Tamandua tetradactyla: one gene and its partners. The protein of the gene in region 3 interacts with the protein of the main gene of each other region in a pairwise test. Links are inferred from orthologs where the notes say so. Each region holds a gene or a part of one and is shown on either strand. Other genes may lie near its edges. The genes, in order: BYSL, C13H10orf62, FXR2 and PTS.

The links.
Region 1: the proteins of FXR2 (region 3) and BYSL interact in binary tests that used the Homo sapiens proteins (3 or more experiments, as listed by UniProt). The two-hybrid records come from large-scale screens. The link is inferred for Tamandua tetradactyla from reciprocal best matches to the Homo sapiens genes FXR2 and BYSL.
Region 2: the proteins of FXR2 (region 3) and C13H10orf62 interact in binary tests that used the Homo sapiens proteins (3 or more experiments, as listed by UniProt). The two-hybrid records come from large-scale screens. The link is inferred for Tamandua tetradactyla from reciprocal best matches to the Homo sapiens genes FXR2 and C10orf62.
Region 4: the proteins of FXR2 (region 3) and PTS interact in binary tests that used the Homo sapiens proteins (3 or more experiments, as listed by UniProt). The two-hybrid records come from large-scale screens. The link is inferred for Tamandua tetradactyla from reciprocal best matches to the Homo sapiens genes FXR2 and PTS.

Annotation. Positions count from the first base shown.
Region 1 is NC_135331.1:99,516,623-99,524,337, reverse strand, and holds the start of BYSL (bystin), read right to left. Parts: upstream 3,015-7,715; 5' UTR 2,666-3,014; coding exon 2,401-2,665; intron 1-2,400. Other genes in the region: MED20 (mediator of RNA polymerase II transcription subunit 20), read left to right, coding at 3,218-3,231, 5,722-5,876. UniProt on the Homo sapiens protein: Required for processing of 20S pre-rRNA precursor and biogenesis of 40S ribosomal subunits. May be required for trophinin-dependent regulation of cell adhesion during implantation of human embryos.
Region 2 is NC_135339.1:58,872,584-58,878,526, reverse strand, and holds C13H10orf62 (uncharacterized protein C10orf62 homolog), read right to left. Parts: upstream 1,942-5,943; 5' UTR 1,937-1,941; coding exon 854-1,936; 3' UTR 508-853; downstream 1-507. Other genes in the region: HOGA1 (4-hydroxy-2-oxoglutarate aldolase, mitochondrial), read right to left, coding at 5,832-5,943.
Region 3 is NC_135332.1:61,463,638-61,470,872, reverse strand, and holds the start of FXR2 (RNA-binding protein FXR2), read left to right. Parts: upstream 1-4,226; 5' UTR 4,227-4,279; coding exon 4,280-4,360; intron 4,361-7,235. UniProt on the Homo sapiens protein: mRNA-binding protein that acts as a regulator of mRNAs translation and/or stability, and which is required for adult hippocampal neurogenesis. Specifically binds to AU-rich elements (AREs) in the 3'-UTR of target mRNAs.
Region 4 is NC_135334.1:28,962,411-28,970,176, forward strand, and holds the start of PTS (6-pyruvoyl tetrahydrobiopterin synthase), read right to left. Parts: upstream 3,018-7,766; 5' UTR 2,903-3,017; coding exon 2,820-2,902; intron 1,960-2,819; coding exon 1,880-1,959; intron 699-1,879; coding exon 676-698; intron 298-675; coding exon 241-297; intron 1-240. Other genes in the region: BCO2 (carotenoid-cleaving dioxygenase, mitochondrial), read right to left, coding at 7,562-7,675. UniProt on the Homo sapiens protein: Involved in the biosynthesis of tetrahydrobiopterin, an essential cofactor of aromatic amino acid hydroxylases. Catalyzes the transformation of 7,8-dihydroneopterin triphosphate into 6-pyruvoyl tetrahydropterin.

The DNA of each region.
Region 1 (7,715 bases), on a different chromosome or scaffold from region 3:
GAATGAAGCTGCATGTGGAAATGATAGAGGGAGGAGGGCTGGGGACATAAATGAAATCAGAAAGAAAGATAGATGTTAAAGATTGAGATAGTATAATCTAGGAATGCCTAGAGTGTATAACAATAGTGAAATGTACAATGTACAAATTTTAAAAATGTTTTTGCATGAGGAAGAATAAAGGAATGTCATTATTGCAGGGTGCTGAAAATAGATGGTAATTAATATTTTAAAATGTCACTTTACGTGTGAGACTAAAGCAAAAAATGTTTATTTGTTACAAAATTTATATCTTGACTAGAGCATTTCCTAATATAACTTATGTAGATAGTTTGATTGAACGTCATAAGTACTTGGAATCTCAGGTAGGATGTGAGATTTTGTTGGTTTGTCCAGAGTGATGCCCCGATGAATCCCAGAGTGATTTGATCAGTGAGTGGAAAAGTATTTTCAAGCCCCCTTCGGGGAATGGTGAGAGCAGGGAGAAATTCAACCTCCCCAAGTCGAATTTTTGATCTTCTCACAAGCAGTGTGGACAACCAAAGCTGTAGCCTGAGCCCCCAGTCTTGGGGTTTGTTCATATGAAACTTAACCCCACACAAAGGATAGGTCAAGTCTACTTAAAATTTAGGCCTAAGAGTCACCCCCAAGAGAGCCTCTTTTGTTGCTCAGATGTGGCCTCTCCCTCCAGCCAACATGACGAGCAGTCTCACCACCCTCCCCCTCTCTGCGTGGGACATGAATCCCAGGGGTGTGGACCTTCCTGGCAACGTGGGACTGATTCGATTGTGTTAGGTAGTGGCAAGAAATAGGGCTACAATGGTAAATTGAAGCCAGACTGTGGAGAGTCTTAAGAGGTGAGGCAGTGGAGTTATTTCAATCCAACAACCAATTTGAGTAACTGATTTTTTGAAGACTAGAGGTTGGTGGGCATCTGGGAGGAGGGGTACTAATCCAATCGAGGAGAGAAAATACTACATAGGAACAGATCATTAAGAACAGAGCATTGTGTGATGAAAGAACTAAAATTAGGGTGGGGGGAGGGGGAATACACAAATATTTTGTTCTCACATGTCAACAACTTCCAAATCCATACTTTCTTCTTAGATCCAGATGCTAACTCCAGGCTTCTCCTGTACCCTCCTTAGATGACCCAGGCACTTCATCTGTCACCAAGTGAACTCATTCTTTTCCCCAAGACTGCACCACTTACTGTGGTGACTACCTCCCAGCCCTGCCTTGTCCATATTCTCAGCCTGCAAACCCAATCAATTACGAAGTCCTATTCGATTCTACCTCATGGAGTATCTCTCAAATCCTTCACAGCCCTTTCTAAACCTAGACCAGCATCATTTCTTGCTAGATTCATTCACCAATCCCTTAACTAGTCTCCATGCTACTGACCTTGCTTTCTTTCAACAAATTCTCTACTCTACAGCCAATCTAAACTTCTGGAACCACACATTTGGTCTGATCAATGTTAGATAGCTTTAAATCTTGGTATGGCCTCCAGGTCTACAAAAGCTCCTATGTACCTCACCATCCTTCTTTAATCAATTCATTCAGCAAACATTGATGCCTCCTATATGTAGGGCACTGTTCAGGATACTGGGAATACATCAGTGAACAAGAGAAACAAATTTCTGTCCTCGTAGAATCTCTGGTACATTTTAACTGGGGGACACAGATCATAAATAAACATAACAAATCAATACACTGGGTCAAAAGAAGACAACTGGAATGGAAAAAAAAAATGAGACAAAGGAGCGCTGCTAGGACTGTTGAAACTGGAATGTGGGTACTGGAATTTTAAATAGAGTGGTCAGAAAAGTCCTCTTTGAAAAGGTGAAGAATTAAGCAAGTAAGCCTGCAGGTGTATAGGAACTGAACATGCTAGGCAGAGAGAACAACCAGGGAAAAGGCCCTAATCTGCCAACTTCAAGGAACAATGAAGCTATATGGCTGGGTGGGGTGGAGTGGAGAGAGCAAGCGCAGAAAGTAGTAGAGAGGTCAGATTGGCTTTAGGGGAAAGGACAGTGTCAAACTTGTTCGTTTCTGTACCCAAATTATCCAAACTTCCTTATAAACACTTATGGAGCAAGTGGATAAATACCAGGACAATTTAATGGATAATGAGCGATCACATCCCGCTGGCCTAATTTTAGGGGCGCCTAGGACCCCTAGAATCTTACTGCCTAAAACTAGGAGTGGGCAGGGGTGGGTTGAGGTGGGGTTGGACCACCTTAAATCCGCTTCAGGGCTCGGTCTCCCATCCCATTACTTTCTAAAGAGCGTAATATGGGCACTTTTTTCAAAACTCCAAGCTTCTCCCCTGACGGACACCTTTCAGCCATTCATCCAAGTATCCACTCTCTCCCTCGCACCCCATTCCCGGCCGCTCACCCAGCCGCGCGGTGCGCTCCCTCGGCCCCATGGGCCTTTCCCCAGCGCCATGCTCGGCCTCCAGCTCCTCCTGCTGCTGCCTCGCTTGCTGCAAAATTCGTCGGGTCAGTCGGGGCCCCACATACTCTTCCTCTTCTCCGGTGCCGCGGCTCCGCCGCTTTTCCCGGGTCCCGGCCCGCACTGCGTCCCCAGCTAGGATCTGCTCGGCCAGGGGCGCAAGTTTTCCTTGACCCCCGGCTCCCCGGGCCGCCTTGAATTTGGGCATTTTTCTCGAAAAAGTGGCCGCGAACCTTCACACGTGGGGACAGAGGCGAGCAGCCGAGAGTGCGCTTGTGCAGTGAACTTCCAAAGCCTACCAGGCCGCGCGGAGAGCACAGCGCCCCCGAGTGATTGGAGGACAGAAATGCCGTCAGCGACACCCAACTCCACTCCCTAAAAGTTCGCACGGGCCCTGAATAAATTCAAATCCTGAATAAATTCTTTGCATTTAACGATGACTGCTGTAAGTGGTGGCAGTTCGAACCATGCTTTCCAAGCATCGCAGATCCAAGTCTGGGTATCCAGCCAAATAGGACGTCCATACTTCCAAGCCTGAAGCTGTCACTGGGCTGCGTGACGTCTCTGCATACGTCACGGTGAGAGCGCCCAAGCACGTCTCTGTACCCTCCTGGCGCATCCATGGGACGCTTTGTTTTTATATAACTTCCGGTGCCTTCTCCCTCGACCGAAGCTTACTTTTGGGGGCTTCATTTAATGTGGGCGGTCGGAGAGCACCGCGTTTCAGCTGTTTGAATCTGCCACCCTCTCATCCGACACCATGGGAGTGACTTGGTAAGACTGCACAGACCACTTGGGATTTTGTGAGACGGGTTTTGGGATCATGAAGTTGCCCTTGGAGCCTGACTGGACCGAGAGGTGTAGCGGGACCGGGGTTCTCCGACACCCTGAGGGAACTGAACAAAATGCCCCTGGGTTATATGGGTGAGGGGATCCCGCGAAGGTTGCAGGTTCTCGGGGTCTGTTTCTTCGGAGATAAGCTCCTTTCTCCTGGAAGGCAGCAGGTAAGATTTTTTTTGGGGGGGGGGGGGGCAGGTAGGAGTTTTTAATCCTAGGAGCCTATCAGTGGTTGTGTACCTCCTTTCCTTTTTTCTTCGTACATTTTCCTGCACCTTATGTTATGGTACTGCTAGGAGTACTTCAGCTTTGGGGATAGGATATCCGCACCAGGACCCGTCCGCAAGCAGGGCTGAAGAAAGTGGTGGTCAGGCAACGAGTAGAATGCCTTTTTTTTTTTTTTTTTAGGTCTCTCTTGCCCCTCCCTACAGCCACAAAAAGTGTTTGGTTCTACATTGGCCATTATATAAAATAAACTATTAGAAATTAGGAGATGGAGTTGCAGTTGCTTCACCTCTTCACAGGACCTGTTTCCTGCTATGTTAAATTACAAGGTTCTACTTTCTATGGGCTTTCTCTCTCTAACATGTTATAAGCCACAGTTGGAAGAAGGCAAGGTGATAGGGAAAGGCGTGGGTCTAATATTTTGGAGGTGTTAGTTACAAAATGTTAGGTTTCAGGACATTAAAAAAAAATGTCTTCAGGTGTGCACATCTTTCCTGTCAGAGAGAACTGGGGACTGGGATATCCGAAGTTAGTGGCTCTTGACTTCTCATATAACAACCTGTGGGAAATGCTTTTTCTTGTAACTCAGGCTCTTACAGGATTGTCTGATTGTGCCCTAGCTTCTCACGGTAGACCTTCGAGAGGATCTTCGAGTCCTCTGGTGTTAGGGAGATATGTGAGTGATGGGAATAAAAAGTTCACAGCACAGAGGCTTGAAATCCTGGAAACCCCTGGTCTTTCAAAAGAGAAAGCATCCAGAGAGAAAGGCCTTTCTATCTGTTGTGCTTTCTATCTTTTTCCAACTTTTTCAGAATCTTAGAACTTATCCTTGTAGCATTAGTTTTTAGGATCCTCTTCTGTGTAAAATTAAGTCACATCACTATTATATAACCGTGCTTTTTCTGAGAGATAGTAGTGACAATTTTTAGCGGCAGTAGGACTCTAACTTATTAGCTTCGTTTAATCGATTGATCATAAAGTAATGCATTGTCTACCAAAGTACAGGCATATGATTGTCTTCATGATTTTTGCCATAGCTAGTTACCAGCTATACTATTAGGTACTAATGTTTTCTTTTAAGTTTATTCCTTTAAATGTTATTTAACAGGCAACTACATCCTTAGAGAGAATGTCTGACCTTGGGCTCATTAGTTAACCTCTCTGTACCTCAGTTTACTCATTTGCAGCAAGGAGATAAATAATAACACCTCTTATAGGGTTGTTGTGAGGACTGGAAGAGTTAATTCATCTGAAGTCCCCATTTTAGAGTTAATTCACCTGAAGTACACTGTCTGGCACATGGTAGGTACTTGTTATCTATTACTCTAAAGGGGAAGCCAGTTTCACTCACCCTCAAGTAGAAGGAAATCTTGGAAATAACATGTTTCGTTTTCCTGCATTATTAAATTCTTGTAGATGCCACTGCCTCCCACTCCCAAAGATTATAAATTTGAACTCTGCTTTCTGTTTGTTCAAGGCTGTCAAATAGAACTTTCTGAGATGATAGAAATTTTCCATATCAACATTTTCCACTATGCACTTGTGGCTATTGATCCCCTGAAATCTGGGCAGTGCTACTGAGGAGCTGAATATTTCATTTAATTTGTTTTATTAATTTAAATAGCCAGATGTGGCTAATTGTTACTCTACTGAAGAACATAAGTTGAAAGTGTTAGAGTTAGTAAAAATGTACTAAATCGGGCTGGCCACGGTGGCTCAGCAGGCAAGGATGCTTGCCTGCCATGCCAGAGGACCCGGGTTCGATTCCTGGTGCCTGCCCATGTAAAAAAAAAAAAAAAGAAAAAAGTACTAAATCAAATTGAGACTTTCTCCTTGATATATTTAGAACTGAAAAAAATTACTAAGGGAATCTCTTGTTTTATGTGATTCAGTGTTATTGAATACTCAGCCTAACATCTCTTGCATGATGGCACAGTTAACATCAGTAGATGTTGGTGTGATGGGAAGTTCACTGTACTGGTACATGAGTCCTGAAACCTGTGCTGTAGTTCCTAGAGGAACTCTCAGAGACTGTGGGCCTCTGTTTCTTCATCTTTAAAATTAAGAGTCACGTGAGTGGAGTGGTCTCTAAAGTAACTCCTGATGACTTGTGATGCTGTGAGTGAGCAGTTGGCTTGTTGAATGGCTATACTAGTGCATGTGTGTTTCTGGATGCTAATGATTTGGTCCTTTTCCTTCCAGTGTGTCCCAGATGCCTGTGGCTGAGGGCAAGAGTGTCCAGCAGACTGTGGAGCTCCTCACCCGGAAATTGGAGATGCTTGGAGCAGAGAAACAAGGAACATTTTGTGTGGACTGTGAGACCTACCATACGGCGGCTTCCACCCTTGGCAGCCAAGGTCAGTGGGATTGCACTGTAGGATGGCTGCAACCTGGCTTGGCGTTGATGGACATTCATGTTCACTAAAGTCTTTCTGATCTAGTTGTGTTTCTGAATTCTTTAAGTTGTTGTTTCTTCATCTGTTAGACTGGAGCTATTTTGTTTTCTTTTTGGGAACTTTTAAAACATTGTTTCTTTTAAAGAATTGATCATTGACCAATTGCATCAGCATCACCTGGGTTACTTGTTCCCCAAATGAACCTTATCCACTTAAAAATTTGAAAAAGATCCCTTTTTTTAGGCTCAGAAGTCTTTATAATTTTTTCTTTTTGTACTTTCTGCCTAAAGGCTTTCTGTTTCCCTCACCTAGCCAGTGGCTTTGGCCATATTAGTGTAACATTGACATTGACCAATGAATCAGCTTTTGTCTTAAATGTATCACATTGACTGGAGTGTGGATGGTAATTGTGCTGGCAGGGAGGGAAAGAGGATCTTTGAATATGAGTTAGGGAACCTGAGTTTTCTTAGTTTTGGCCCTAGCGGTAACTTGCTAAATATATACATTCTTAGATGATTTCACAACCCGGCTACTAAAAGTAGGGTTGTGGAACCAGGCCCCTAAGTCCCAACTCTGCCACTTAATAAATGTACAACTTTAAATAAGTCCCATAACCCATCTGTGGCTGTTCCTATTCCAGTGATTTGCCTATTTCCTTGTAGATTCATTCCCTGACATCTCCTGCAGTCTAAGGCACAGGAAGAAGATTGCAGAAAGGGAGACCACAAGTATTTGCCTTCCTTTCCTTATGCTTTGGACGGTGTCCCTGGCCCTAACCATGTCTCCTTGGCTCTAGCTTCTGCTAGGTAACCCCACTTCCTGGCTAGTAACAGCACATCTTCTCATTTTCCCTGCAGCCCATAGATGGTTGTGGCTTCCTGTATTGCTGTTCTCTGGGTTGCCATACCATACTTTTTACTTTTTCGGTCCTTCCAATCCCTGTATTTTGTTCCCTATGATAAATTCCCTCTGTTGAAACTACCTATTGTGGTCTTTGTTTTTGGATCTTCCCAATATGTCTTGGATTCTTCTAATGTATAAAATGAAGACAGTTAAAGTACTTATCTCCTAGTATTATTGTAGCAATTAAATAAGTTAATATATGCAAAACACTTTCAACTGAGGTTGTCATTTAATAAATTGGAGCTGATAGCTGTACAGGCTTTCATCAGTGGTGGAATTGCAATGTTTGTTTTGCCTTCAACTGGAAATATATAAGAATCAAAAGCGATAATAGTTATGAAAGCATTTGGAAAATAAGACATTTGCTTATAGATATAAGGTGGCATACTACTTCTAGTTAATCTACCTGGTATGGCCCCTGTTTTGCTGATTGGACCCTTATTTTTAAGGAAATTACAGTCTATTTGGGGAGATAGAGGACATTTGTGGCAGGTTGTGAGATAGAATGGAAAGAGCAGTAAACATTGAGTCACAAAGTTAGAGCTCTGAAGCTTTGAAAGTCAGTAGTACCCCACGTGGGAACTGTTTGAAAAGCTGAAAAATTGATCATACTTTGAGTAGAGATATGAGTGAAGCTGATCTGGGTAGGACTAAGGTATATCAGAATACAGGGTAAAGGATGATATCATCCATATTTTAAAACTTCAACATCTGTGTGAAACTAGAGGGTGAGATGCTTAGTTGGCACAAAATTTATATTTTGGGTAGGTCATTTCCTAATTTAACTCGTATAGTCAGTTTAGTTGAACAAAAATAAGTACATGGAATCTTGAATAGGGTGTGATATTTTATTGGTTTGTTCAGGTTAGAGTGATACCCCAGTATATCCCAGAGTAA
Region 2 (5,943 bases), on a different chromosome or scaffold from region 3:
AAAAATGTGAAATCAGGGTGCTGGAAACAGTGCTGTGATACTGGTAGCAGCAGCCACAGCCATGCCAATATTAGTATCAGAGAAAGGAGGAGAGAGATCACACTGACACAAAGCCGTGAGGGCAGGTGGTGGGGAGATACCAGCAGGGCTCCCAGTTGGCAGTGGGACCCCAGTGGGAAGAAGGTGGGGCAGAGAAGGAACTACAGTGTGGGATGTAATGTGACTTGAGAAGAAATAGGGTGAGGATAACGCCAAGAGCAGAGGGGCCCACCTTGCCAGCTCACTCCCTTCCAAAAGCCTGTTTCCACCCAGGAAACACCTGGCTGCTTTCCCCTTCCTTGGCAATGGCAGGTGGGTGGGTGCTGAATCCCCTGGAGATATCCTATTCCCAGAATCTATACCCAGCCCCCAGACCAAGGCCCCCACGTCAAGGACTGCTGGAGAAGGATCCTTCTTCCCCTGTTCCTGCCCAGACCTTGCGTTGGCCACAGAGCCCCCGACTCAGGGTGAGGGTACACAGGGCTTTTTATTGGCTCAGTTCCAGGCATTTGGCAAAAGTGTGGGGCTTTCACTGCTCCTGGGATCTGCCTTGTCTGTCTCCTCTCCATGGGTCTTCAGGAGCCTCAGAGTCTGTCTCAGCTGCTTCACTTCCTCCCAGCTCTCCCTCCACCGCCATCCTCTGTGGCAGAGCCCCCGCATGGAGTTGAAGGGGCCCGTGCTCCTGTGGGGACCGGAGGAAGAGAGGATCCCAGCAGCATCTCACCCTGGGCCACACAGGTTGCCCTATAAGGGAGAAAACAGGCCTGTGAGGGTGTGCCAGCCCTGCTGGGGGAAGGGGTTTCTCCATCCGTGGTTAGGTGGCTTCAAAGGAGTCACAGATCTGATGGCTGCCATTGGGCAGACTGTGGCTCTGGTGGCTCTGGTGGGTCAAGTGACCAGGATGACCTTGGTGGCCCTGGTGGCCTGGATTGCCCTGGCGGCTTGGATGGCCCTGGCGGCCTGGATGGCTTGGATGGCCCTGGAGGCCTGGTTGGCCTGGATGGCCCTGGTGTTTCTGATGACCGTGACCAGGGAAAGTGTGGGTGTTTTTGGAACCAGCTGTGGTGTTTTCCTGCCGGACAAGGAAACTCCCTTGCACTTTCATCTCCACCTCCTCAAGAGCCTTCAGCTCCTCCTGGTTGATGTCTTTGGTCTCCACGTGGCCCGTGTGCTGGTACGCCGTGGCACGCTGCAGCATGGAGTTAGCCAGCTGCCGCCCTTTGCTGTCGATCTCCTTGGTGCAGGCAGCCACTGCGGCCCAGGTGGCCTCATCTGTGGAGGAGGATTTCCCCGACTCCTTGTGGGTCTCTTTGATCAACGAGGACCCAGACGTCCTCTGCCTGCTGGTGAAGGACTCCCGGTGAAGAGCTGTGCCTCCTTCTCCGTGCCTTGTGGTGAAGGTCTCCACGTGAATTGTGGTGCTTGCTTCTCCATTCCCACAGTCAACCGGGGGACAGACAGCTGTGTTGTTGGCCTCCAGCTTTTCATCAGAAAGGCGGCTAAAGTGAGATTTGATCCAGTCCTCATTCTTTGGGTTGCAGGATTCTGTTGGGTAAAACCTGCCTACACACTCAGTAACTCTCTTCCTTCTCCTCCTCCGAACCCACAGCATGAGGCTTCCGCCTCCCAGCAAGAGGGCAGCCGCCAGCACCACCTTGCATGATGGCTGTTGGACGAGCTCCAGGAAAGTCTCCAGGACCCCACGCCAGGTAGGCTGAGTTAGGAGCACACTGGGAGTGGGGGAGCCAGGATGGTATGGTGCATGCTTGTAAGGGCAGGCTCCCCAAGGGTGTCTGGCAAGCAGACCCCCTGCTGCCCCCTCCCTAGAGGCCCCTCCCACCTCAGCAATGAACTCCATTGTGAGGAAGGCAGTGGGGGTGGGGAGAGGCCACAGCATCCCTCATGTCCAGCCTGGCAGTATTGCCTGAAGCCTGGGTCCCATCTCCCACCCTGACAGTTGTCCCCAAGGTCAGTGGAAGGGCACTGTGGTAGATTGGATTATGAACCCCATATTAGACAGATTAACCTTAATCTGCATTCCTGTGGATATGAGCCAATTATAAATGGGATCTCTTGAAGATGCTATTTTTTTTTTCAATTTTATATTTTAATAAAGCACATGGAACTCAATTGTTGACGTCTTCCATAATTATCACAGTTTAGTTATCAAAATCAGGAAATTGAAGATGTTATTTTTAATTGAGATGCGGTCCAACTGCATGAAGGTGAATATTATTAAGAGAACCTGGAAGTCACAAAAGCCAGAAAGGAGAGGGCATCACCATTTGATGGCAGGCAGCAATACAGCCAGCACCACAACAATGCAGTCTTCAAGAAGAAAGAAAGCCTTGCCAGTATCTCAATTTTGAATTTCTTCTACCTCAAAACTGTGAGTCAATAAATTCCTGTTGTTTAAGCTAACCCATTGTGTGGTATTTGTCATAGCAGCCTGGCAAACTGAGAGCCCCAAATCTGAGTCCCTTTTGCCTTCTGCTTGTGACCCATTCTGCGATTCTTCTTCTAGTCTTTGGTTTATCCCCCCAACCCCATACTGTGGCCCCCAGGGCGCTGAGACAGTTGGGTCAGGCTGGCCATGGCAGAAGACCCACCGTGGCTGGACTGGCATCTATTCCGGGCTGCCTGAGGACAGTGACGCTCTCCATCTGGGAACCAACTCTGCTGCTAGGACTCACCGCATTCCTTCCTCACTGATAGCACCCAACCGCTTTATAGGGCAGGGTCTAGAAGGAAAAGGGGCCCAGGACGGAGCTTATTCTGGAATAACACGAAGCCACAACTTTGGGGAGAAAAAGTGGTACTGAGAAGGCGGAGCAGATAAGACAGGAGATTTCACTAGGTCCCAGACCCCTGGGGGTCATTCCAGGATGGGGGCTGCCCCTTCCTGCCTTAGTGAGGCACCTGTAAACCCAGAATTTGCCTCCAGGTAAATGGCATTGTTCACGTTGTGGCCAGACTTTCTGTAGGTGCAGAAAAATGAAAGTTTGGCTCATGATTCAGAGTTATAGTCAGGGCTCCTTGGGGTAAAAACAGGCCTGGGCTACTTTTATTCCTACAGAGACATTTAGGGTGTTAAAAATGAAGAAATGCGAGAAACAGGATTGCAAAAAGTGTGATGTTGTAAACAAAATATTTTATTTAACAAAGTAATAATCTTAGTTTATACAAAGATAACTATGTAAACAAAATGCCAGAGTGTAGTCTACATGCTGAGATAACATGTCCCATGCTTAAAGTTTAGGGAGGACCTCACCTCACTCATCCCGCTGGAGTAGCTCTACACTCGTCCACTCACCTCACTATAAGCGATTCAAAGTCCACCTTTGAGGTTGTTAGGGCATGAGTTCAGGGCTACATGGCCCTGCTGCAACAACTCGTACCTTTTATTCGGAAAGAATATTCTTCATTCAAATAATCTACAAATTAACAATGCTGAAAAAAAAAAGAGCTACACAGTTTCAGGCAATGTCCTCCAGAGGAGTCCTTTACCTGTTCACTAATCCATCAAGGGCAGCTTTAAGGCTCCTGTTTTGAGGACCTTTAGCTCGTTGCTGGAGGGCCCTACCATGTGGTTTGTGGCGGTTCTCTCCTCTGACCCTAAGTGTTGGACTGCAAACCCTACCCCGGGGCCAGGATCCAGACAAGAGAAACACATATTTCAGAGCTAAAGTTGTTCGGTGTCCCTTCCTGGACATCCTGCTGTGCTCTGGGAGCAGTGACAGGGCCCTACGGCTTTATGTTCTCTGTGCCGTGACCCAGGTTTGAGCTCCTTGGACCGAGTATGTTGAACCCTGTGGCCAGGAGCCTGAAGGCTCAGTGCCCATTTCAAAATGAGGAAACTGGGTTAAAGAAATCAAGCGATTTTCCCAAGGTCCCCGTAACTGGCAGAAACAATTTATTTTTTATAATTTAAATTTTTTTTTTAAAACATAACCTACAAACACAAACGTTCTTATCATATGGTCATTCCATTCTTGGTATATAATCAATAACTTACAATATCATCACATAACTATATATTCATTATCATGATCATTTCTTAGAACATTTGCATCAATTCAGAAAAAGAAATAAAAAGAAAAAAGAAAAAAATGCACACATACCATACCCCTTACCCCTCCCTTTCATTGATCACTAGCATTTCAATCTACTAAATTTAACATTTGTTCCCCCTATTATTTATTTAGTTTTAATCCATATGAGAAACAGAATTCTTACCCAGGTCTTCTAACTCCAGATGTTGGGCTCTTTCTACTACAGTCCACTGCCTTCCTGGTATGTGGCTGAGAGTGAGCAAGTGGGAGCCAGCATGGGTTGCAAGGGAGAAAGCCAAGTGAGTATGTGTGCCTAGCGGCCTGCCAGAAATCTGCTGTAGCCAGTGCTCCTGGAGCACTCCCAGCAGTGAATGGGTGGGAGGGAAGAAGGGTTCAGAGGAGAGCCTGAGGATCTCCGGATTCTCTGGGTGGAAGGCATATACCAAATGCAAAGTCCACTCATCAATTCCTTGTCCTAGGGTGTCCTTGAATCTGAAGCAGAGTCTTCTCTCTGAAGCTCAAAGCAGCTTCTCATTTTGCTTCAAGACAACCAGTTCTCAGCTCTAACTTTCAGGCCCCCATGAGCTGAGTTCCAGCAGCAATTTGTTTAGAGAGTGTGACCTTGCTCAGTGTGGGTATCCACAGGAACTTCACTGTCCCTTAGGGAAGGCCACATCACCTCACCATGAGATGTGAAAGCAGCTTTGCCCACAGTGCACACACTGTCACTTTAGTAATTATTGTCATTGGAGTTAATACCATTGAATGTGTATCACTCTTTGCAATTCACTGCTGCCTGCCACTTGCATTCTCACATTTTTTTTCTCCCAACCATCTTATGATATGGGCATTATTCACTCTATTTGTCAGATGGGGAAAGCCCAGGTTTTGAGAGATTATCCCATAGCTAAGTCAGCGGCAGAGTTGTGTTTTGAATCTAGAGTACACATTCCTAACTGCTATACTGTTACTGCTTTGGTCTGAGCCACTCCATTCCCAAAGCTGGTGCTGACCAGACTCTGCTTGTTAACAGGGCTCTCTCCATAATCTGGTCTAGCAATCCAGCAGGGTATAAGGAGAGTCAGTACAGTGGAGTCAAACAAAGCATGGGTCATGCAGATGCCAGCTGAGTTCAAATCCCAGCTCAGCCATGTATTAGTTGAGTGATCTTAGGCAAGTGACTGTCATTATGAGCCTCAGATTCCCATTTGTAAAGCAGGGCTATCCAGAGTACTACCTCAGAGGGTCGTCAGCTGACCGACGTGGGGGTGCAAGCCAAACTCACCAATTCTTCTACCTTCATCTATTGTGCCTGTGCTGTGTTGGGTGGGGAGGGTCACAAATGTGATCTGGAGAGGAAGGGCCAAGGGAAGCTTCGCCTAGAGAGCAGGTGTGAAAAGGGCTTTAAGGGAAGTGAGGGTCTGCAGGAGGACGTGGTTGACAGGACTTTCACACCTCAGTAATGCTGAGAGCCAAGCAATCACTTTAGTAGTTTACAGTTGGGAAAAATGAGGCAGGTGAGGTTCAGTGCAAGGTTGCACACCAGCAGGCAGCTTTCCACCCAGCTCCTGCCCCCCCAGACCAGTGTCCCCTGTCCCTCTCCTATAGTAAATTAACCCGGGCACCTGAAAAGCCCTGAGCTACTTGACAGAGCCTGTGCCCCCTCCCCATGGTCTCTGGTGAGGAGAACGGGGTGGTTAACCTCGCCCCCAGTTCCCACAGCGGAGAGGCCCAGCTTACCTCGGAAGGGGCAGGTGCCCAGTTTGTGCAGGTTCTCCTCCAGTTTCCCATAGTCCACCTCATTGGTGGCAGTGAAGGGGGTGGTCACAGGGGGGTAGATGCCCGCGATGTC
Region 3 (7,235 bases):
GGAAACCTTGACCAAAAGGGGGAAGAGAAATGAAACAAAATAAAAGTTTCAGTAGCTGAGAGATTTCAAAGAGAGTTGAGAGATCATTTTGGAATTTATTCTTATGCAGTATATAGATATCTCTCATCAGTTTTTTGTGTGTGTATTGGAGTGGCTAAAAGGAAATACCTGAAACTACTGAACTGAACTCCAACAGCTTTGATTATTGAAGATAATTGTATAATATACAGCGTTTAAGGTCTGACCACATGCTTGTGAAAACCTAGTGACTGACATTCCCTTTATCCAATGTATGGACAGGTAAGAAAATTAAATAAATAAACAGACAAATCAAATAAAAATCAGCAATCACTTTCAGTTGCATTTTCTGTGTTGTGTGTTTCAAACTCAAAACAGCATGCAAATATTCCTACTTCTGGGCATTTCTGTTGTAAGCATTGGCTGTTGCCTTCTCACTGTTGAAGATAAGGAACCAGCCTCTTGCCAACTCCTCCATCATCCCAATCCACCTCCAGCGACATCCTTGGGATGAGGTTCTTTGCCATTGTCTTTAATCAAAAAACAACCAACCGCTTTACCAGGTGTTCCCTGTCTGTCAACTTTACAAAGGCAAACTTATCTGATCAGCTTCATCAGAGAGGACTCCTGCTTGGAGGCAAGCAATGGCTCCAAGTATTCTAGGATCTGGGGAGAAAGACGTCAGGGGGAAGAGGGGAGTAGCAACAATCAGTATGTAAACTTACATTTAATTCCCATTTTTATCCACCTTTCTATCTTCCTCCCACTATTTTTATTTATTTAGAAACCCCAAAGCAAGTGGGGCATCTGTTATACACACTTTGTACTCCAGCTAGTAATCTTACTGAAATACAAGTCTGCTGAAAATCCTGTAATGGCACCCACCGTTTTCAGTGGAAAGTCCAAACATCGAAATACGTTTCAAGTCCTCTAAGCTCTGCCTAAGCCAACCCTTCCAGCCATGTTTCCTCTCCAAGTCTGTTCCAGCCATGTTAGACTATTTTTAGCACCTCAAGTCTAGGCTTTCTATACATGCCGTTCCCCTGTCTGAAATGCTGTTCCCTTTTTTCCCACTCCCATCCTTTACGTGAATAAACAATGACCAGAGCAGATGAAGGAGAGGAAAAGTCAAACCTGAGAAGATTGTTGGTGCCTGTGGCTTGGAAGTTGGTGACAGTGCCTGTCTTGGTTTGCTGGATCTGCTGTAACAAAGCACCACAGACTAACTGGCTTAAACAACAGCCATTTATTTATCACAGTCCCTGAGGCTAGAAGTCTGAAATCAAGGTGTCAGCAAGGCCATGCTTCTTGGAGGTGAATCCATTCCATGCCTCTCTGTTGCCTTCTGGTGCCGGCAATCCATGGTGTTCCTTGGCTTGTGGAGACATTATTCAATCTCTGCCTCCTCCACATGGCCATTTCCCTGTCTATACATCTGTCTCTCTGCCTCCAAATTTCCTCTCCTTATAAGGAACCCAGGTCTCCAGTCATACTGACTTCAGTCTAACTAGTAACATCTTTAGACATCTTATTTACAAATAAGTTCAGAGTCACAGAACCAGAGGTTAGGACTTGAACATGTCGTTTTGGGAGACACAATTCAATTCCTAACAGTGCTATTTTGAAAAAAATTCAGTCCTTTCCTACGCTTAAGAGATCAAACCCATACTCTTCAGTCTAGCGTTCTTGGTAATCTGCCCTACTTAATTTCCTTAACTCTCTGCACTCATCAGAATCACTGCTGGTTGTCTTCTGACCATTTCTGTCATTCTAATTACTGCTGCTCCTTCTCAGTCACTCTTGGAGGCACCTTTTTTTTTTTTTTGACAGCTTTTTAAATACTGGTGTAGTTCAGAGTTCCATCAGGACCTTAGTTATTTCTAAACCTTTTATTTGGAGATTCAATTTACTCCTCGGACTTACTCCTCAGACTTAACTATGCTGATGATTTCCACAAGCACCTTTCTAACCCAGACTTCTCCCAGATCACTCACCTGTAAGACATTTGTTCCTTCACTCAGGAACTGTGAGCTGCTGGGTAGACAGTGATGGGGACAAACAGACATGGACCCTGGTCTCCAACATCACAGAGCTTATGGTGTGATAGTGGAAGAAAGACACTGAGTAAATTATTATTACATCCGTGATCAGGGCCACAAAGGAGTAAAAGATGCTTTGGCAGTGTAAGATGGGGGACTAATAAAATTAGCATACCAGAAGGGTAAGAAAATTATATTTAAACTGGGACCCAAAAGAGAAATTTGTTGAGACAAGGGAGTATCTCCACCTGAATGGCCCACAGGCCCTCATAAAGAAAGAATACAAAACCAAACTCACATCACCATTCACTCTGTAATCCAAGTTAGAAATCTAGGAATTGTCCTGTGTTCCTCCCACTACTTCATTGCCTCCTGACCTAACCCCACCCCACACTCTATTACCAATTCCTGTGATCCTACTTCAAATTAAATAGGCTCAAATTCAAGTTTTATCTATTTTGCCCATAACCGTAGTTCAGACAGGTCCTTAGCTTCTTTTTTCACAGGTCTCACTGTCTTCAGGACCACCCTTACTCTTCAATCTATCCTCTAAAATTGTAAGATGCAAATCTTATCACATCAAGGGGTAGCAACCACTTAAATTCTTTCACTGGCTCTCCATTATTGATAAAATAAAAGTTATTCTCCTTAACTTGTCTTACAAGTCCTTGACAGTCTAGCTTCCTGCAACTCCTTCCTTGGTGCTAAATGCTAGATGAAGTAGATATGGTTCCGCAAAGGACGTGTTCTTTCTGCTCTTTGCATCGGCTTTGCCTCTTTGTAGCACCTCTGTTTGTTCTTCCCTGGCCATTCTTAAGTCCTGCTAACCATTGTCACCTTGGGGTTCCCTCAATACCTAGTCCCTATCTCTATCACATCTTAATCGCACTCTGTGCATTTATTTATTTAAATAAACTCCTTGAGCTCAGGGACCACATCTTGTCTTTGGATCCCAAGCACTTAGCTCAGTGATTGGAACATAGTGGGGGGGAGGGGGCTAAATAAATGTTTGCTAAATAGTTACATGCGCACACATGATTCTAATTTCTGTACTGTTTTACTCGATTTCAACTACATTTCTTATCTGTCTTAGTTCAGGGATCCTAAGTTTCTCCCCTGCTACCCTCACTCGATGACAATTTCTCCTATTTTGAATTTCCTCAGCATTTAGATTTCTGAGTTTGTGCCAATCTAAATTGCATTTCGCCATCGCCTTGCAACTATTCTTTGACCTTTCATTACATACATGATCAGGATCATCTTGTAATATCCTCAAGGCAAGAACCGTAACTCAAATCTCCTAAACACAAAGTTAGAGGAGCTTGGAGAGACATTCAATACAAGTCTATGGGCGATAAATCTCGGCGCACGCGCGCGGGACACCTCTTTGCCTTTCGACACTACTTTTTTTTTTTTTTTTCCTTTGGAGCGTGCGCACCAAGAAAGACAAAGGTGGGGAAAGTGACCAAGCAGTCGTTCCGGCGCATGCCTATCCCTAACTTGTCCAAGCCTGGTATGGCTCCTAGTGGTGAAGTGGGTGTGGTATGACCAGGAGCCGCAGAAGTCCAATCCCACGGAGTGAGAGCGGTCCCTCCCTCCCTATGATTGGTCAGCGGTCAGTGTTGTGGGGCGGGGAAAGGAAGAGCTCGGCGGGGTGGAGTGATGGGGTGGCGAAGAAAGAGAGCTAATCTCGCTCTGCGCAAGCGCATGTAAACGACCAGGAGGGGGCGTGAGAGAGGGAAGGAGAGTGTGGAAGCCCCCATGCGCTGGCGAGCGCGAGCTGGGGCGCTAGCCTTGGCGCCTGCGCCGTGGCCCGCCGGGCTCTGCGCGCGGCGGGCGGGTGCCGGGTGCGCCTGCGCAGTAGACGGCGGCGGCAGGGGGAGGTGGAGGCCGTGGAGCGGCAGAGGCAGCAGCGGGTCCCGGGACCGAGGCAGCAGCGGGGGCGGCGGCGGGCGGAAGCTGAGGTGACGAAGGCAGCGGCGGCGGCGGCCGTTTCCCTCACGGTGGCGGAGACCAAGGCGGCGGCGGCGGACGGGGAGCGGCCCGGCCCCGGCCCCCTGCTCGTTGGCTGTGGCAGGGCCGCCGTGGGGCCGGCCCGGCTCCCGCCCCCCGCGGCTCCCCCTCCGGCTCCTCCTCCGGGGAGACGCCGGGGGCCCGGCCCGGCCCGGACTCAGACCGCTGCTGCAGCCGCCGCCGGGGGAGTCGGAGGCGGTGGCAGCGCCATGGGCGGCCTGGCTTCTGGGGGGGATGTGGAGTCGGGACTGCCAGTGGAGGTGCGCGGCTCCAACGGGGCCTTCTACAAGGTGAGGCGGCGCGCCGATCGGGTACACCGGCCCCTGGCCCTCTCCCAGAGCCGGAAAGAGTGGGGCGGGATGGAGCCTCTCCAGCGAAGTCCTGACCTCTAAGAGCATTAGACAAGCCTCACTCCCACCCTCAGCCTTCCTGGGGAGACCTCTGGGAGTTAACCCTCTTTCCTATTTTGGATCCCTCTGGTACACCTGCTTTTTGCTCGCGCCTCAGAGGAAATGAACGTCAGGGCATTATTGTGCCTAAATCTGTGCCCTCCGCCACCCCTTTCCCCTAGAAGAGACCCCCATTTAACCAGTTTCTTATTGACTTTTCCTGTTTCGTAGTGCAAAGATATACCTTAGACCTTAATCATATCATTCCCACAGTCCAAGCACATAGAGAATTCTCCCCCCCGTTAGCCGTCTTGTGGAAAGCCATTCGTTCATCTTCCTTAGAGAGACTTCTGCCCACTGACTCGGGGAAAATCATCCCACTTTCATCGTTCATTCCTGTTCGCAGTCCAAGGAGAAACGGTCAAAAGCCATTTAAACTATTTGGCGTCTTTGACCTTAGGAACTCTGGGTTATTTCAGGGTCAAGTTGCCTCCCAACCATAAAGTGGCATCTTTTTAGTAGTCTTTTGCCCCGCCTCTTTACCCCAAGGCCAGCTGGTCTACCATTCCACCTAGGGGATGGGCTTTTGTTGTCACTTTGACCTCGGATACATTTAGATCATTTATATGCTTTCTCCATTTTGAGGAATGTATAAGTTTCATATATCATAATATCTAAAAGGGGATCTCACGTGGACCTCTTCTGTTTATCTTCTTAAGGATTTTCACTTCTAGAAGACTTCTTGCCAACTCCCAATTTGGGAATCTGCTAGTAACCTTTTTTGGAAGGAGGAAGGGAGTATCTTTCAAAGACCCTTGCTTATTTCAGCCTTCTCCTCACCAAGGATTTGGTTCCTTAGAATTCCTTTTAGACCATCTATCCCTTATCTCCTCTGAATTCAATTTCTAGGACATCCCCCTCACCCCCCCCCCATTTAGATTAGGCCAGAGGAAGATCCTTCTTGCCTCCTAAGGATATTTCTTTGTCACTGTTGTTATTCTGAACCTCTTTGGGCCTTATTCCTGGAATTGTCACAGAGACTTTCCTGATTCCTGTCTCATTCTTCACTCTCATCCTGAGAAGCTGGGTAAAAGATTTTTTAACATCACTGGTGAGAAGAGCCTCATTTCCTTAACATCTCCTCAAGCCTTTTCTTCCACAGTAGACCCCTCCACCTTTATGCCCTTGGAAATAATTTCTTCCCTATGAAATCATAGCTTACTTTATCTGGAAAGGGTCATATATTTGCACTTGGAGTGGATGGTTTCTATCCCAAGTTCAGTTGATGAGTTCAGTGTATTCATTTTTTTTTTTACCCACTAACCATATCTACTTTAGTCTCCACACCAGATTTCTGTACCTGTCTCTGTCTGTTTGTCTTAACTTCCCTCTCAGTTCAAGCCTCTAACTTATTGTAATATTTTTATTCTATATACTTTTGTAATCATCAGGAACCATCTTATTGCATGTCTAGCTTGAAGGAAGTTCTTGATTGATCTCTTTTGTTATTTTTTCTACATACTTTTATAACTTGGAACTTCTTCTTGAAGTTTGCCCCCAGAACATTTATTTTCTCCGGGAAAAAAAGTCTTAATTCCTTTATAGTTCTGATAGAGTGTATTTGTTTCATATTCTTTCCCCTGAACTTACATTACCTTTACTGAAATACCCTTCTGCATAAGATGTTATCCCCATTTTCCAAGTATCTTGTCCTTCATCTGGGCCCCCCCTCAAATTCTGAGTTGCAAGAAGAGTGATTGTTAAATTGAGTCTGAGATCAAGATATGATGTTTACTTTTGTTCATGGAAGCATGGGAGCCAAGCACAGCTGGGAAAGATTGGTATCCTGTTCAAATTAACTGTATGAGATGGTTGGTAAGGGAGAGAGTTCTCTTTTCACATAGTAAGTGTCCAACACAGAGTCTTCCTATGAATCTTTCCCTTTTCTCCTGTGAGCTATGGCAATGACAGACCTTTGATTGAGGGACAGAATACTTTGGTTCAAAGAGTAGAGTTTGGAATTGAGTCGAAAGCCATGTAATGTGGATTTTGTGTTCTAGCCACTTTAACATTTTCTGTTCCATTACAGTTAAAAACAACAACAAATCCCTAAATTCAGGCTAATCTTTCCTCAGCTTTCATTGTCATATAGACACTTAGCCAGACTGACCTTGCTACTGATTTAATATTCATGACTCAGCAGACTTTGGTGTGGATCAGAGAGTATTTACACTGTTTTTAAAACTATAAATTTTGGAAGATCCCTTTCTCCTCTCTCAGAATGGGTCCTCTTCCAAGGTGGAAATGCAAATGTTAGATCTGAGATCTAAGTTTTCTTGTAGCTACCCCACCAACCCTTTCTTTTCTGTCAGAACTTAATGTATTTTATTCTTTAAGTTGTACTCTCCTAAATGAGAGAATGTACCCTTCTGGGCACATTCATTAAACTTTTCAGACCCTGCCTGGATATATATATTTATCATCCCATTCTTAGTATATAATCAGTAACTCACAATATTATCACATAGTTGTACATTCATCACCATGATCATTTCTTAGAACATCTGCATCAGTTCAGAAAAAGAAATAAAAAGAAAACAGAAAAAAACGTCATACATACCATACCCCTTACCCCTCCCTCTCATTGATTGCTAGTGTTTCCATCTACCCAATATATTTTAGCCTTTATTTCCCCTAATTTTTTTTAATTTTTAAAAAACATAACAACATACAAACATGAACATTCTTACCATGTAATCATTCCATTCTTGATATA
Region 4 (7,766 bases), on a different chromosome or scaffold from region 3:
ATATAAAATAAGCATGTTACATTTATTACCATCACTAATACCACTCTGACTAATTTCCTTTCAGTCAACCAAACAACTTTCGAAGGCCTCTATATAACTACTCCTCGACTCCCACACCCAATTCCACTCACAAGATCATGGCTTCCGAAGGTACTCGGTTGGGGAGGTGAAAATGGGGGTATCTGATATCTGTATCTGACTTAGGAGACCTCACATAATAAGCACCAAGCATGTCATTACCTCCATATATTCTTTGAGGTCAGTCAAGTTCATAACCATCCCTGTAACAGGATCAATCTAAAGAATAAACAAAGGTGAATATTACTACAATAGTTCTCCAGATTTAAGCCTCTGGCAAACTATTAAAAGCTGTACAATGTACAGAGATTGGGCCCACATTTGCCTTCATGCCAGAGACAATCATCAATCTCAGCATGGAAACACCGTATGTTTGAGGCATCTGTTTCATTGTACTGCTCTTCTACCTGTCCATATATAGCATACTAAAGACAACACTTTGGGAGAGGAGTGACCTGGAATGGCAGCAGTTCATCACACAAAGGCTGACAGCGAAGCAATATGGATTGGAACAGAAGTTTTCAATATAAGCCGCCACGTTGGCTGAGAAAGGGCCCAGCAATCTGCACAAACCACACAAATATTTTCAGCACGTACCTCTCCATGTACTGTCACCACAACTATGGGAAAGAAAACAAAATACCAAAAACCAGCATGACTTACGACAGAGTAAGATCCAAGCACAAGTAAGCTTAAATTAACTATTAGAGATTCCCCACCCAAAGCTATATGTATAACAAAAGTTACTTTTTTTAGTTAAAATATTTTATCAACCAAAGCAACACTCAACCAAGAGAGACGAGCTTATTAGCAAAGGCCAAGGCCCAAACTGTAAATTCAGCCTATGATGTTAATTCCCTAGGTGATAAGTCACTGCTGCTGGATTTCTGCCTGTAAAAGTAGAAAATGTATAGGCAGGTGTCCAACTATGTACTGACCTGGCCCAATTCTGGATGATACTTTTCTGATCAGGCAAACCACTACTGTTATTCTTTTACTCACACAAATATACCCAGTTTACATTAATGCTTTGAGAATTAACAAGTGCTTGTATAAAAGCATCTGAAAAATCCTGACAACCAGAGTTTTACAAATCAATAACTTTTATATATTTACATATTTTTTCAGCTCCACACAAACACCATAGGTATTATATGATTAAGTGAGTAAACTGATACTGAGATATCATAGATAAAATAAGAGGCAGCACCTAAGCTAGAAACCCTGACTAGAAACTCACCTGCTCTTTTATTCCACCACACTATATTATATTACACCCTATGGCTTATGTAGCAGTGTTTTCAGTCATTGGCTGTATCTTAAAGAATCAGATCACTTACCCTTGCACAAATTAATTACTTTCTTAGAACACTGCTGGCAAAGTTTTAGATCCAACCTATTTTTCTGCCAGTCGGCACATTCTTAGGCAAAATTCCCCCTTTTTGGTCATTATTTATTTGCTCAAAAAATTCAATCTAATTTTAACATTTTGCCTCTGCCATACCTAATTAGAAGGAAACACACTGCCAAAAAAATCGTATTAAGCACCTAACGCCAAGGAAAAAGTTTATTTAAGCCACTTATTGTTCCGGACTGTCCTCAATAGAACAGATGATTGAGAGGCTGAACTTAAGGTTCACACAACCAAGACAATAGATCTTTTCACTTTGAATTTCATTTAATTTCATTCAAGACTCAAAGCATTCATGTACTGTCCACACATCTCATTCATTAAGCTTGTATTTGTTGAACACTGTTATCCTTACTAAAAGGGCTAAAATTTCATCAGTTTTTCTCTCACCTTTGTAATTATGCCCATGGCCATTTGGACTGTTGCATTTCCCAAACAGTTTCAAGTTTTCTTCGTTACTCAAAGATTTGCTAACCAAAAAAGGAAAAAAAAAATTCAGTAGGACACAGTATTACATTCACACCCCCTGTTCCCTGCATTTATAATTTGTTTTAGCCTTTGAAAAGCTTCACAATTTGTTTTGCCCTTGGCTTACCAAATGGAAACGCATAAATCTATTTGATTTCATTACACACACTGAAACCAGTGTGTGTACTCTAATTAGACTACTGTACCACACAAAGGGGGAAACCGGAGGCTCACAGTGAGCCTCATCAGCAAGTGGTAAAGCTCGCTGCAGTCTCTCTTTAGCGCAATCAATTTGAGAGCCCAGATTTCAAATGCCAACCGTGTTGCATGCTTTTAGAATTGACTCAGGAAACTGAATTTGGGTTCTTTTTTAATCTAAGCAAAATGGGGATAAAACTCACTTTTTAAATTGTATTAGATTCAGTAGCTAATGCTCCTGGGATACGTTAGCTATCATTTACTGAGTGTTTACGATGTGCCAGATACTGTGCAATGTGGGAAAGTTTAACTCCTTTAAACTATACAGCAACCTTTTGAACTAAACTAAGGAAATCTGGGAAGAACGTTGTTTCAGGTCACGGACCTAGTGGTGCCTCTTGATTCTCACTCTGCAATCTGCTCAGTTAATCACCACTCTTTATTGCCTCCTCAAAAGCCCGGTCGACTCTAGTTGCCAACGTTATTTTTGTTGTGGTCAACAATAAAGCTCGGCCGCCAAGCGTCAACCCTCCATCTTCTAGTTCCGCACCCAAAGAGCGCAAAAGCAAGCGCGTAAGCACGTCCCTTGCCCCGCCTCCCAGAGACGTTTTCCAGCAGGGCAAAGGCCCCGCCTCCCACTGTTGACATTATGGTCACACCCTACCTGTGGAGCCGATGGCTCGCGCTGAAGGAGACGAGACGGGACACCTGTGCACGGTGCCCACCGCCCGAGCTCGCCGTGCTCATGGTCTCCCAAGCCCGGGCGCCTCAGCACGCCCTCTTCCCCAGGGCCCGCGGATAGCTGGAAGAAAGCACCGCCGTCCGAGATTGCGCAGTGCGGGCTCGCGCGCCCCCGGAAGCACTCACCGGCTTTTTTCCCAGGACTGGGCTCTGGCCAATCCCGAGATCGAGAGCGCCGCCCTGTCGACTTGGAGGCCTTGACAAAGGACCATCACTCCCGGGATCTTTTCAGAGAGCTAGAGTTGGGATAGTTAGGCATACCTTCGAGCTTTCAAGTGTCTGATTTTTCTGTCTGTCCAACTTGGGTAAATGTCTTCCGGTTAGGGTTAATCTGAGTACATTTTGGATGCTGGCGTGATCTCTTTGAGCCTCCCTTCCTTCCCACTCACTCTCTTCTACAAAGCCCTGGGTTTGTTACACTGGAAACCTCCTGCCTCGGGGTAGTTATCTGGGATAAGACCAGAGCCACCGTTCACCTGTAATATAAAGGGAGCAGGAATTTAAGAGCCTTTGCAGGACCACGGGATTTCATAGATGATGCTAGCTTGAACTGTCTGTAATGATTCTTACCAAGGAAAATTCTCAAGCCGTCTTTACCATCCAAAAGCATGCAGGATCAATTAGTACTCTGGGTTGGCATAGTTTGAACACATGAACACATGCACTAGCAATTCTCTGGCCAATGTAGATAGCTCTAGTGTGAAAAGATCTTATATACTTAATCTGCTCCTAACAGTTTCCAAACTCTTCACATTCCCCAGGACCATGTCGCCTCCTGCCTCCATTGATTCTTTCATTAAATATTTATTTATTGAACATCCATTATGTGGCTGGTACTATTCTAGGCACTAGGGAGAATAGTGGACATTCTATATGAGAAACTATCAAATGATGAAAAGCGGAACAAGTCAATAACAAAGTAGGAGAAGTTTTTCATAAATTTAGAAAAGAAAGATAATTTAAAATCATGGATGTATCAGAAATATAAAGCACAATGACTTCTCAAGTGTCTCCTGTCTCCAGGTATATATTATATATTGTTTGTTCTGCATTAAATTATTAGCATGTTATGTAACAAACACTCATACATTTTCAAATGTTTGTCCCATGTCCCCCATTGGGCTGTAAAGAAAAGACTTCAAAGAATAAACTTTCAGAGATTTTTGAGATAGAGATTATCTTGTTTAATACTCTCACTTTACAGATGAAAAAACGCAAGCAAAGATAAATTAATGACTTCTCAAGATCACTCAACATGTAAACAGTATTTCCCAGGTATTAACTGCATCAGAGGTAAATACACTAACAGTCAATGGTTACACAAACACTTTACTCATGCTGGAAGCAGTTTAAAGCATCAAAGTACAACAAAAGGTAAAAGGGGTTTCTGAGATATTACATTTGTTACTTGATTAGGCCATTAAAATATTTCATTGCATTTGCTCTAAAATATTTCATTAAAACTAGTGCTAGGGCAGGCCACGGTGGCTCAGCAGGCAAGAAGGCTTGCCTGCCATGCCAGAGGACCCGGGTTCGTTTTCCGGTGCCTGCCCATGTAAAAATTTTAAAAAATTTTAAAAATTTAAAAATAAAAAAATAGTGCTATATAAGGCTACTCACCAAATTCACCCTCAGTGATCCTATTTAACCAATAAGCAAACAACATTTCCTTAACTTTCTTTACCAAAACCTACTAAGTCAAGGCTTTGTGCTTGGCTCCTTTGTGCTGGATACCAGAGAGTATACCAATGAACAAAAATAGGGAAGGTAGCCCCCATAAGGATCACCTTCCAGACACTCATTAAGACAACACGTTTACTTCACACCTACTAAATGCCAGGTATTTTGTCAAATGCCAGAAACACACAGATGAGTGTAACAAACACATGATCCCGATCCTCACACAGTTCCCTTTAATGGGGAGCCAGATACAAAAATATTATCAGGATAAACTAGAAAAGGCTAATTCTGCTTCAGAAAGTAAAAGAAGACTTCTATTTCAGTTTCCTGCTCCAAAAAAATCCCAAATGAGGTTGGCTTAAACGATGAGAATTTAAGAGTTTCGAAGCCATGAAAATGTCCAAATCAAGGTGATGCTTTCTTCCCAAAGGTCAGCTGCCAGTAATCTTGGCTCTTACACCATATGGCAAGGCACATGGCAGCATCTCCTGGTCTCTTCCTTCTGTTCTATTTCATCTTCTTGCTTCCTGAGTTTTTCTCTCTTTGTCTGAATTTCATTCTCTTATAAAAGATTCCAGTAAGAGGATTAAGACCAATCCTGATTGAGGTGGGTCACGCCTTAACTGACATAGCCTCATCAAAATGTCCTACCTACAATATGTCCATAGCCATAGGAATGGATTAGATTTAAAAACAGTTTTTTCTGGAGTACATACAGCTTCAAGCCACTACAATTTCAAAGTGGAGATGACTTTTGAGCAAGATTTTGAAGGAGTTCACCAGACGGGTAAGAAAGGATGAGAATTCCAGAAAGAGAAAATAGGGTGACAAAGAAAACTCGGAAAAGTGCAGCTTGTTTAATGCATAGTGAGAAGTTCTTGACCGCACTGGGGAGATAGGTGAGAGATCAGACTGAAAATACCCACTGGGGATCAAATTATTGAAAGACCTTGAATGTCACTTTAAGTATAAAAGAGAAGAGCTTCGTCCCCTTCTCAAGGCTTCTCCTTCTTACCGGTCTCCTATTTCTTCCCCAAGAAAAAAGAATTCGCATCTGATTGAATCATATTTCCAACCATCGACTGGCCTCATTTACTCACAAGCAAGATCACAATGTGTTATAAGTCTCACATGTGGTTGTAGCTTACTCTCTGGTGCTAAGTTCAAAGGAATAAATTGAGTTAAAATTTCTCCATTCCCACCCCTACCCTCAAGAAGGCCTGCACATTTTATTCACTGTTCTATTCTGTCTCTTGCCCGTTTGACCAGGGCCTGGTACCTTCAGACAGGTTAGCTATCTCTCTCTCTCTCTTTTCTTCTCATTTGTGTACTACAAACTCCCTTTCCTTAAGTCTTGGGCTTAGGGAGGGGAAGAGCCTCTGTCTAGGCTTTAAGCTTTAGTTATATATTCACTCATATTTTACCAGAAAGTTCTGTACTGAATTACCATAAATACACACCTGGATTATAAAATATCATTAATCCTTTTTTGTTTTCTCCTTCAGGAGTCTTATAGATAGGAGAACTGAAGCAGAATTCAGGCATCCCTAGGTCAAAATTTTATATGTAACTAACCATTTTTATGTATGAACTTCACTTCCTATATATTAGGATGGAGGAAAGGCATGATGAGATCTGTACTTTCCAGATGTCAGCCAGAGTTTCCTTCACCCTTAAGATCTAGAGAAGATAGATCAAAAGTCCACATCATGTTGGGGGAAGTACAATGCTTTTTCAGGGTCTTCCATGAAATATCAGGGGACTTCATGTTCTTATGATTATCTCAGGTGCTAAATTCCTATATCTGCTGAATTCATACAATTTAGGCATTTTTTTTTTTTTGCCATTCCATACCTATTGTTGCTCTCACCAACCCGGACATGGGCATTTCCACTTATAGCCACAATCAAATTCCCACAGATGCCATTTACATAGAGCACTCCTCCAAAAATGATCGAGTTTGTGAAGTTTGAAGTAACTCTTAAGGAAAATTAGAGAGGAAATTGACTATTTTGAGCCATGAATGTGTAGTAAACCTAACTTTGGCTAGTGACCATGAGTTCACAGTTGCTTCAAAACAACATGTTTTGGGGGGTTTCTCCAGCAACATTCATCATGCAGAGGGAAAATGGACAGTATAATAACCTAGGGCTGGAGCTAAGGGGTCATGAGGGCTGGAATTAAAGAAAAAGGGAGCAAGGGATTTTGAGGGTGTTGACAAAAAAATGCAGATCTGGGCTGATTAGGGCTGTTGATAAAAATTGATGGTTATCAGAAATGTGGAGAATATATGGTCTCTAGTGCCACCTGTTGCCCAAATTAATAAAGGACTACAAACTTTCAACCCGAAGATTAGAAGAAATACCCAATTATAGAGCTGTCCCTCAAAACAAGCACCTCCCAAGCTGAGCTGGGGAGAGGGAAGGGGGAGGTAATGAGAGGTCCTTAGAAGAGTTATACAATTGCAGTGGTTTCTGTTGTTGACAGCAGAGAAATAACCAGTTTAGAAAAAGCCTCCAAACATGATATAACTGAGCTCCTGTCCTCTCTAAGTACCTCAGGAACAAAGGTATCAGGCAGATGTGGTGGGAAGAACAAGGTGCTTTTCAGGTCTATATTCAAAATGTACCATCAATGACCATTTGTATTTTTTCTCCCAACTTTGAGCATCTGTGTTACCCACCTAATCTGGTGGTGTTAATGATCTCACTTTAGTTCTTTCATGTATTACTTAGAGGAAATTCTAGACAATATATGTATATTTAAAACCCTCTTCAAAAGGTTGTATCAACATTTGCTTAATGTTTTCAAGGAGAACAGTAAGAAAATGTAAAACCATAATTATCTCATGAATCCCATTTTTAATAGAAATTTAATATGCACTCAAATGTCTATGGTTTGGAAAACAGGGTGCCATTTTTTCCTTCTCTTTTTTGAAGAGAACATTACTTTTACATCTAGATCCCAGATCATATGGCTGTCCCATCAGATGGGTACGAATGTGCCATGGAATCCATAAGGCATTTGCACAGGCACTTCAGCTCGGCCCAGTTCTTCAAAGTTCTTAGCATCCAAGACTAAGAGAAAATTGCTTTCATTCTAGAAAAAGAAAGACAACACTGAAAATTCCCTCTGTTTTCATTTAAAATCTGTCTATCTTTTCCACTAGGCTGCAAAATTCCTAAGGGCA